2 linked regions of the Callithrix jacchus genome follow. The protein of the gene in region 2 purifies or fractionates together with the protein of the main gene of each other region. This does not show direct contact. Links are inferred from orthologs where the notes say so. Each region holds a gene or a part of one and is shown on either strand. Other genes may lie near its edges. The genes, in order: ITGB1 and ITGA4.

The links.
Region 1: the proteins of ITGA4 (region 2) and ITGB1 purify together in Homo sapiens (co-immunoprecipitation; 4 studies listed by BioGRID and IntAct, with this or other methods). This does not show direct contact. The link is inferred for Callithrix jacchus from reciprocal best matches to the Homo sapiens genes ITGA4 and ITGB1.

The regions. Positions count from the first base shown.
Region 1 is NC_133508.1:32,606,017-32,609,841, forward strand, and holds part of ITGB1 (integrin beta-1), read right to left. Parts: intron 2,284-3,825; coding exon 2,143-2,283; intron 1,983-2,142; coding exon 1,783-1,982; intron 279-1,782; coding exon 40-278; intron 1-39.
Region 2 is NC_133507.1:47,527,831-47,531,655, forward strand, and holds part of ITGA4 (integrin alpha-4), read right to left. Parts: intron 1,414-3,825; coding exon 1,315-1,413; intron 861-1,314; coding exon 741-860; intron 273-740; coding exon 174-272; 3' UTR 1-173. UniProt on the Homo sapiens protein: Integrins alpha-4/beta-1 (VLA-4) and alpha-4/beta-7 are receptors for fibronectin. They recognize one or more domains within the alternatively spliced CS-1 and CS-5 regions of fibronectin. They are also receptors for VCAM1.

The sequences.
Region 1 (3,825 bases), on a different chromosome or scaffold from region 2:
GATATCACATCTTACAACCACTTCAAGCCCTTTACTTACCTCCACAAATTAAGCCATTGGATCTATCACAGTTGAAATTATCACACTCGCAGAATTTGCCAGAATAAATTTCATTTGTATTATCCCTCTTCCTACAAACACACTGTCCACAGATGCACTCTCCATTGTTACTGCAGATTTCTGAACTGTTTTCTTTCCTGCAGTAAGCGTCCATATCTTCACTGTTGACTTCATCTGTGCTGCATTCACAATGCCTACCAACACGCCCCTCGTTGCACCTGAACAAAGATTCCACAATTGCAATCACACAAAACAAAAATAATTTAAAAGAGAAATACTAGGAGAGGAAATAAAACTACAAAAAATATCTCTGCGAGCTACCAATCTATTAGATGGGATTGTCCATGCCACACATCATAGATGTGTAGTGAAGTGTACACACATGTGCAAGCAAGGACAAATACACAGGCGTGCACATACATCCCAGTCACTCAAGTTTCTACAGAATATATGCAAGAGTCTAGGAAAAAAATTTCTTCAGGAAAGTAACAACTTTGGTGAAGATAAAAATATATCTAGCAATAAATTATGAACAACACATGTGGAAAGGCAAAATAAACAATTTTAGAGTATGTTAGTTACATTTTTAAATGGTATGCTATTACATTTCCTATTCTAGGTGAACTGTCTCTAAATTTAAAACAACAATCTATTAACCTAAAGAAATATAATAAACACATGCAAAAAAGTGTACAGAAGTTGAAGAAAAGTGTACAGAAGCTGAAAAAAACATACTGTGTATACTATTTAAAATATAATATACCATTTAAAAATAAATGTATCCTACAGGTACAGACTTTTCAGAATCCCTGTGTATTTTCAGAACATATAATGCTCACGCACACTGAATGCACTGATTCTGTATCTAGTAAATATACAAGCAAAGAAAGGCAAAGTATTTTCAAGATAACCTTTTTGGTTAAATGACATTTTACTAAAAATGGAACTGGCATGATTCAAACAAGATATGGAAAATTTAAAAATTCTAACATTTAAATTGTTATTCAGCCCAGACACTGAAAAACTCAATAGCCCTTCTAAGCCTAGTCATTTGGGGTTGACACCGGATTAAAACACTCTCCCCTCCTCCTATTCTTTTATGGAGAAGGCTGTATTCAAAGTATACTCAGTTCTTATTTTTCAATTAAAAAAAGGAACCACAGTGTGAAAATAAAATCTGAAGTAATCTTGTTAGTTTTCTTAGTATTAGATTCTACATGCTAAAAATACCATTTTCTCTTTATTTTACAACACATTATTTTTAAAATATTATTCCAACAATACAGAAGTACATATAGTACAAGATAAACATCTTCTATTGCTTTATAATTCCATTTCCCAGATGAAATCATTATCATTGGTTTGATGTTTTTTCAAAACATTTTTCTATAAATGTATTTTATACAAGCTTATTTTGTTCTAGACAATTCAGATTGCTCTCACATGAGGGAAATGCTATGTTAACTATTCGTTGAATATACTTCTTCTATGGCTATAAAAGCTTTTACTTTAAAGAGTAATTAAGCAGAAAAGGCAGGAAGGAGATTCCTATAAATATCACACATAAGATTATCAAACTGATCTTGTGGCAGGCAACCATGGTTAGAAAAAGCATTTGCTCTGAATAGAGAGATATTCTCTGGATGTCCCAAAATATGACCTGCCTCTATGCTCTAAACCAATGTAGCCCTTTCTTCCACTATCTGACAATGACCAGCTTACCTGCATGCGCCACACTCAAACGTCCCGTTTCCTTCATGACACTTGGGACTTCCGGGGATGCCTTCGCTTTGGCATTCACATTCACAGATGTACTGAAGAATAACCTCTACTTCCTCCGTAAAGCCCAGAGGCCTAATTTTAAAGGCGTCAGAATCCTTTTTTGGACATTTATTTGAAGTTATGCTAATTTCAAACTGAACCTTGAAGGGAAAAAAAAAGATCAACAACCAATTAAGCAATTTAAATCTACTAAAAATATTTTAAAAAGCTTCTCACTTAACATTTCTCAAAGTATAAACTAAATTTGCTTATAAATAAGCAATGTTTTCTTTTCTACAGAAAATGCTTTATACAACGTACCTCATCTCCAATGGAAATATTGGAACATTTTCTTCCATTTTCCCCTGTTCCATTCACCCCATTCTTGCAGTAAGATTTGTAACTTATTGTTACTCCTTCTGATAATTTGCTGTTTTCCAAAATGACTTCTGAGGAAAGGGACTAAAAGAATGCCTAATTATATACAGGAAAGTCAACAAAATGCTACTTGAATGCATAAAACCAATGGATAAACTGCTCAGAAAAGAATTATTTCAATAAAATATTTACAGGCCAAATCCAACTGAGTAACTGGAAAACACAGACGCTAGAGAAACAGGTTTTAATTAATAAAGATCCAATCTTCAAAATAAAATACACAATTCAAAGGAGTATTCCTGTTTTAATCACTGAGTTAAAATACTCAGGATCACACAGTACAGAGGGCTGTTATTAATTAGGAGGAGTCTTAAGAATGTGGAATAGGCCAGGCGTGGTGGCTCATGCCTGTAATCCCAGCACTTTGGGAGGCTGAGGTGGATGGATTACCTGAGCTCAGGAGTTCGAGACCGGTCTGGGCAACATGGTGAAACCCCATCTCTACTAAAATACAAAAAAAAAAAAAAAAAAAAAATTAGCCAGGTGTGGTGGCATGCGCCTATAATCCCAGCTACTTGGGAGGCTGAGAAAGGAGAATCGCTTGAACCCAGGAGCCAGAGGTTGCAGTGAGCCAAGATTGGTGCACTCCAGCCTGGGCAACAGAGGGAGACTCCATCTCAAAAAAAAAAAAAAAAGAATGTGGAATAAATAAATGCTGTCTTCCCCACTGGCAAAATGGTGTTTCTGTGGTCCTACCCCTCCAGCTAACTATGGACTAGAGTACACAATCAACAATGCACTCTAGGAACAAATTTGCTTAAGGAACCATTGTAGCCCAGCCAAAAACCAAAAAACAAAATCCCACAAGAAGGAGGGATTCAAGCCAGGGCTTGTTGAAAGTATAAAACTATTCAGGGCAAATGGAGCTGCAGCAGTGGCAAGCTATCTCTTGTTCATACCCCTGAAAAGACAGGAATTAGGAAAATTATCCAAGACCGGGGAGGATGGAAAATCTGTGGAACAAATGAAATCTTAAAAACCTTTGTAAAAACCCCTCTGAATCAGGCCTTTCCAAAGCATTATGGTACCCCATGGCATGAGGTAAAAATGTTTAAAATTCAAGCTGCCAAAGGGTTAGAGGGACGGGGGCTGAAAGTGGCGCATGCAACACACAGGGTTACCATAGTATTACAACTGCCTTCAGATTATTTAAGTGATTATTAATTAAGGCTAACTGGGCACGATTAAAGTATACTGAATTATGTTCAAAAAGGAGAAGCAAATTCCTCTTTAATTTCAATTCAACACCCTCCCATCTGTGGGTAGAAAAAGAACACTATAAATCTTTTTGAACTGGTGAATCATATGTTTATTTACATTTTTACAGAGTTAGTGGTATATGTATATATGAATGTGTATGCTTCCTGAAATAGAAAACTATATCCTTTGAATATATAAGAAGAGAAGAATTGGGGGGAAAAAAAGTTTCTAGCATAGTTCATCAAAATAGATGACTCTATAAAAGATATTTTGGGGAGAAAAAAGATTGGAGAAATCCTGTAAAAGTTTAAATGTAAGCTATGTTTTACAACTGCTTTCCAACAAGGAGATTTCTTGCTTAATGAT
Region 2 (3,825 bases):
TTCTCAAAGAGTAATCATTGCTAAGATTTTACCCTTGCATGAAGACATAGTATGTCACAAGATCATGAGTAAAACAAGTCCAAGAAAAATTCATGTTTTCTGGTAAACAGTGTCTTAAATTTTTTAACTACAACCTGAGTCTGTTTTCCATTCTCTCAATTTGAAAGAAGTCTTTAATCATCATCATTGCTTTTACTGTTGATATAACTCCAACTGTCTCTTCTGTTTTCTTCTTGTAGGATAGATTTGTATTGTCTTTTAAAGAAGCCAGCCTGAAAATAGCATTACATAATCACTAGTGTATAGTTGTGAACACTCTTATCTATTATACTCATTTCTAATATCTAAGCAGTTAACACCAATATTTCTTAAATTGTGTCCCTTATAACATCATAAAGGTTTTTGAACAGGTAATTAGTTGGGGACATACTGGGTTAAAAAAACATTTGTTTTTAATGCAGAAATTCTCAGTGATATATGCCACATTCTCTCCAAAATTGACATTCAGTGTAATTTGCAGTCTTTTCCAAATGCATTTTAAAAAGCAACATCTTTCAAAACAAATTAAGAAGGAATCTTTTTCTAAAAAGACTTTGGTATTGAAGAGAAATGAGAGATCAGTACTGAGCAACATAAAAAAATTAACATTAAAATACTGAAAAACTTGGAAGCCAGAAACTGGCTTTGAGAAAATGATGTCACTTTGAGTAGTTTAACGCTGGTAATTCTTAAAAGCTTACCTTCCACATAACATAAGAGATCAATAAAAGTACAATAAGTCCAAGTAGCAAGCTACTTGAAATAATCACTATGGTGAAATGACGTTTGGGTCTTTGATGATGTAGTCCTTCCAGTAGAACCTACGTGAATTAAGAAAAAACATAAAAGAACAAGAAAAAAAACAAACCTACAGTTTAAAAACTTGCTTATATTTCCTTTAAAGTCCTGTCATAATCCCCAATAATATTTAGAACCTCCCAGCCCATTTTCTTGCTGGTTCTAATATAACCACAGGAAACAGTGGTAACTGTCTAGCAGAAACAGTGAGTATGACAGCCTCTATCCATGACTTTTCCTCCAATCTATCCAATACTCACTGCTGCCCAGTTCACCTCTCTAAAGGAACTGCTGTATCATTCCATCTTGCCAGTTGTGGAAAAATGCCAACTCTCAGCCAAACACTGAGGGCCCTCCATGAGCTGGTCACATTCTACTTTCCCAACTCAGTTACTCAAAAGGAAGTGATTATAGACAGACACCCTTGGAATGTGTTTTCCTATAATTTTAATGTAGCAGTTAAGAGGGTAATCTTACATGCGCAACATTCTCATCCTTGTTTAGTTCAATAACTCTTGGATTTGGTTCTGGAAAAGCTGTTGCTCTTATTTCAAACTTGAGTGCTGAAGTCTCATCCTGTTTAATAATAGATCAGGCTATGGTGATTTATTTCATGAAGACTATTAATAAAAATAATTTATCAGGATCTTTACCTTCTATTAGAGGTTTCCACAATTTATCTTCCCCAATTTACTTCAATACTTAAAATTAACTGCAGTGCTTCCTTTGGTTCCCAAAGTATGGTCTTGGTATTAATTTATATAGTATTTCATTGAAATCCTTTGATTAAACATAGCTACCCTGCAAATAACTTGATTTAAATATTTATTAGACAACAGCAAGTTACTAGTTACCAGTGTTCTCCACCCTGCCACCACATATTGAATCTATCTTGTTTGGGCTTTTTATTTCTTTGTACATTAAATACATATATAGAATTCAAATATAAAATCAGTGGATGAACTCAGAACTTTACTATCTAAAGCAGGGACTTTGAAACCCCAAATCCATGGAGCTTGGGAATCTGTGGATGTGCCTTACAAGTTCTAAGAATCTTCAGGAGATGTTTTCATGTCTGCATTTGCTGAGGGAGATGAGAATATATTCTTTAGTCAGACTCTTTAAGAGGGATATGACCTTTAAAACCACTGTGCAAATGTGATTTAACATTTTAGAGCCAAAAATAAATGACAAACTTCATATAGCCTAGAGCAATAGTTCTCAGCAGGGAGGGTTTTTATCACCTAAGGGACAGGAATGTCTGAAGAAATTGTCAAGTGTCAGAATGTGAGAGGTGGTACTACCAGCAGTGAGTGTGTAGATGCTGAGGATGCTACCAAATATCTTACAATGCACTGGATAGCCCTTGACAACAACAATATCTGGTCCAAAATGCCAATTATGGCCACTGAGGGGAAACCTAGACCTAGAGAGAAAGAGAAGGCAAATTGCAAAAGGTTAAATGACTTCCTGGTGGTCTAATGACTTCCCTTTTAGCACAGTTGAAACTAGAATGGATATTTCTTCTTTGCCTGTCTAGTGTATCTTCGTCTTATCCACTGTTTGGTAATTTCAAAAATCCCACTTGAAACATAACAGCTGCTATTTCCTTTGGCTTCCTTTGTGCCATGAACTATTACTAAGTGCTTATAAAAATCATCTCATTGGCCGGGTGCGGTGGCTCACGCCTGTAATCCCAGCACTTTGGGAGGCAAAAACTGGAAGCATTCCCTTTGAAAACAAGCACAAGACAAGGATGCCCTCTTACCACTCCTATTCAACATAGAATTGGACATTCTGCCCAGGGCAATCAGGCAAGAGAAACAAAGTGTATTCAAATAGGAAGAGATTAAGTCAAATTGTCTGTTTGTACATGCCATGACTGTATATTTAGAAAACTCCATGGTCTCAGCCCCAAAACTCCTTAAGCTGACAAGCAACTTCAGCAAAGTCTCAGGATACAAAATCAATGTGCGAAAATCACAAGCATTCCTATATACCAAAAATAGATAAGCAGCCAAATCGTGAGTGAATTCCCATTCACAATTGTTACGAAGAGAATAAAATACCTAGGAATACAACTTACAAGGGATGTGAAGGACCTCGTCAAGAACTACAAACCACTGCTCAAGGAAATAAGAGAGGACACAAACAAATGGAATAACATCGCATGCTCATGGATAGGAAGAATCAACATCGTGAAAATGGCCATACTGCCCAAAGTAATTTAGAGATTCAATGCTATTCCATCAAGCTACCATAGACTTTCTCCACAGAATTAGGAAAAAAAATACACTTTAAATTTCATATGGAACCAATAAAGAGCCTGTATAGCCAAGAAAATCCTAAGCAAAAATAAAGCTGGAGGCCTCATGCTACATGACTTCAAATTACACTACAAGGCTACCAAACCAAAACAACAGGATACTAGTACCAAAACAGATATATAGACCAATGGAACAGAAGAGAGACCTCAGAAATAACACCATACATCTACAATCATCTGATCTTCTATAAACCTGACAAAAACAAGCAGTGGGGAAAGGATTCCCTATTTAATAAATGGTGCTAAGAAAACTGGCTAGCCATATGCAGAAAACAAACTGGACCCCTTCCTTGTACAAAAATTAACTCAAGATGAATTAAAGACTAAAATGTAAAACCCAAAACCATAAAAACCCTACAAGAAAACCTAGGCAATACCATTCAGGACACAGGCATGGTTAAAGACTTCATGCCTGCAACACCAAAAGCAATTGTAACAAAAGCCAACATTGATAAATGTGGTCTAATTAAAAGGCTTCTGCACAGCAAAAGAAAGTATCAGAGTGAACAGGAAACCTGGGAGAACATTTTTGCAATCTACCCATCCCACAAAGATCTAACATCCTGAATCTACAGGAACTTCAATTTACAAGGAAAAAAAAAAAAAAAACATCAAAGAGTGGGTGAAGAATATGAACAGACACATCTCAAAAGACATGTGGC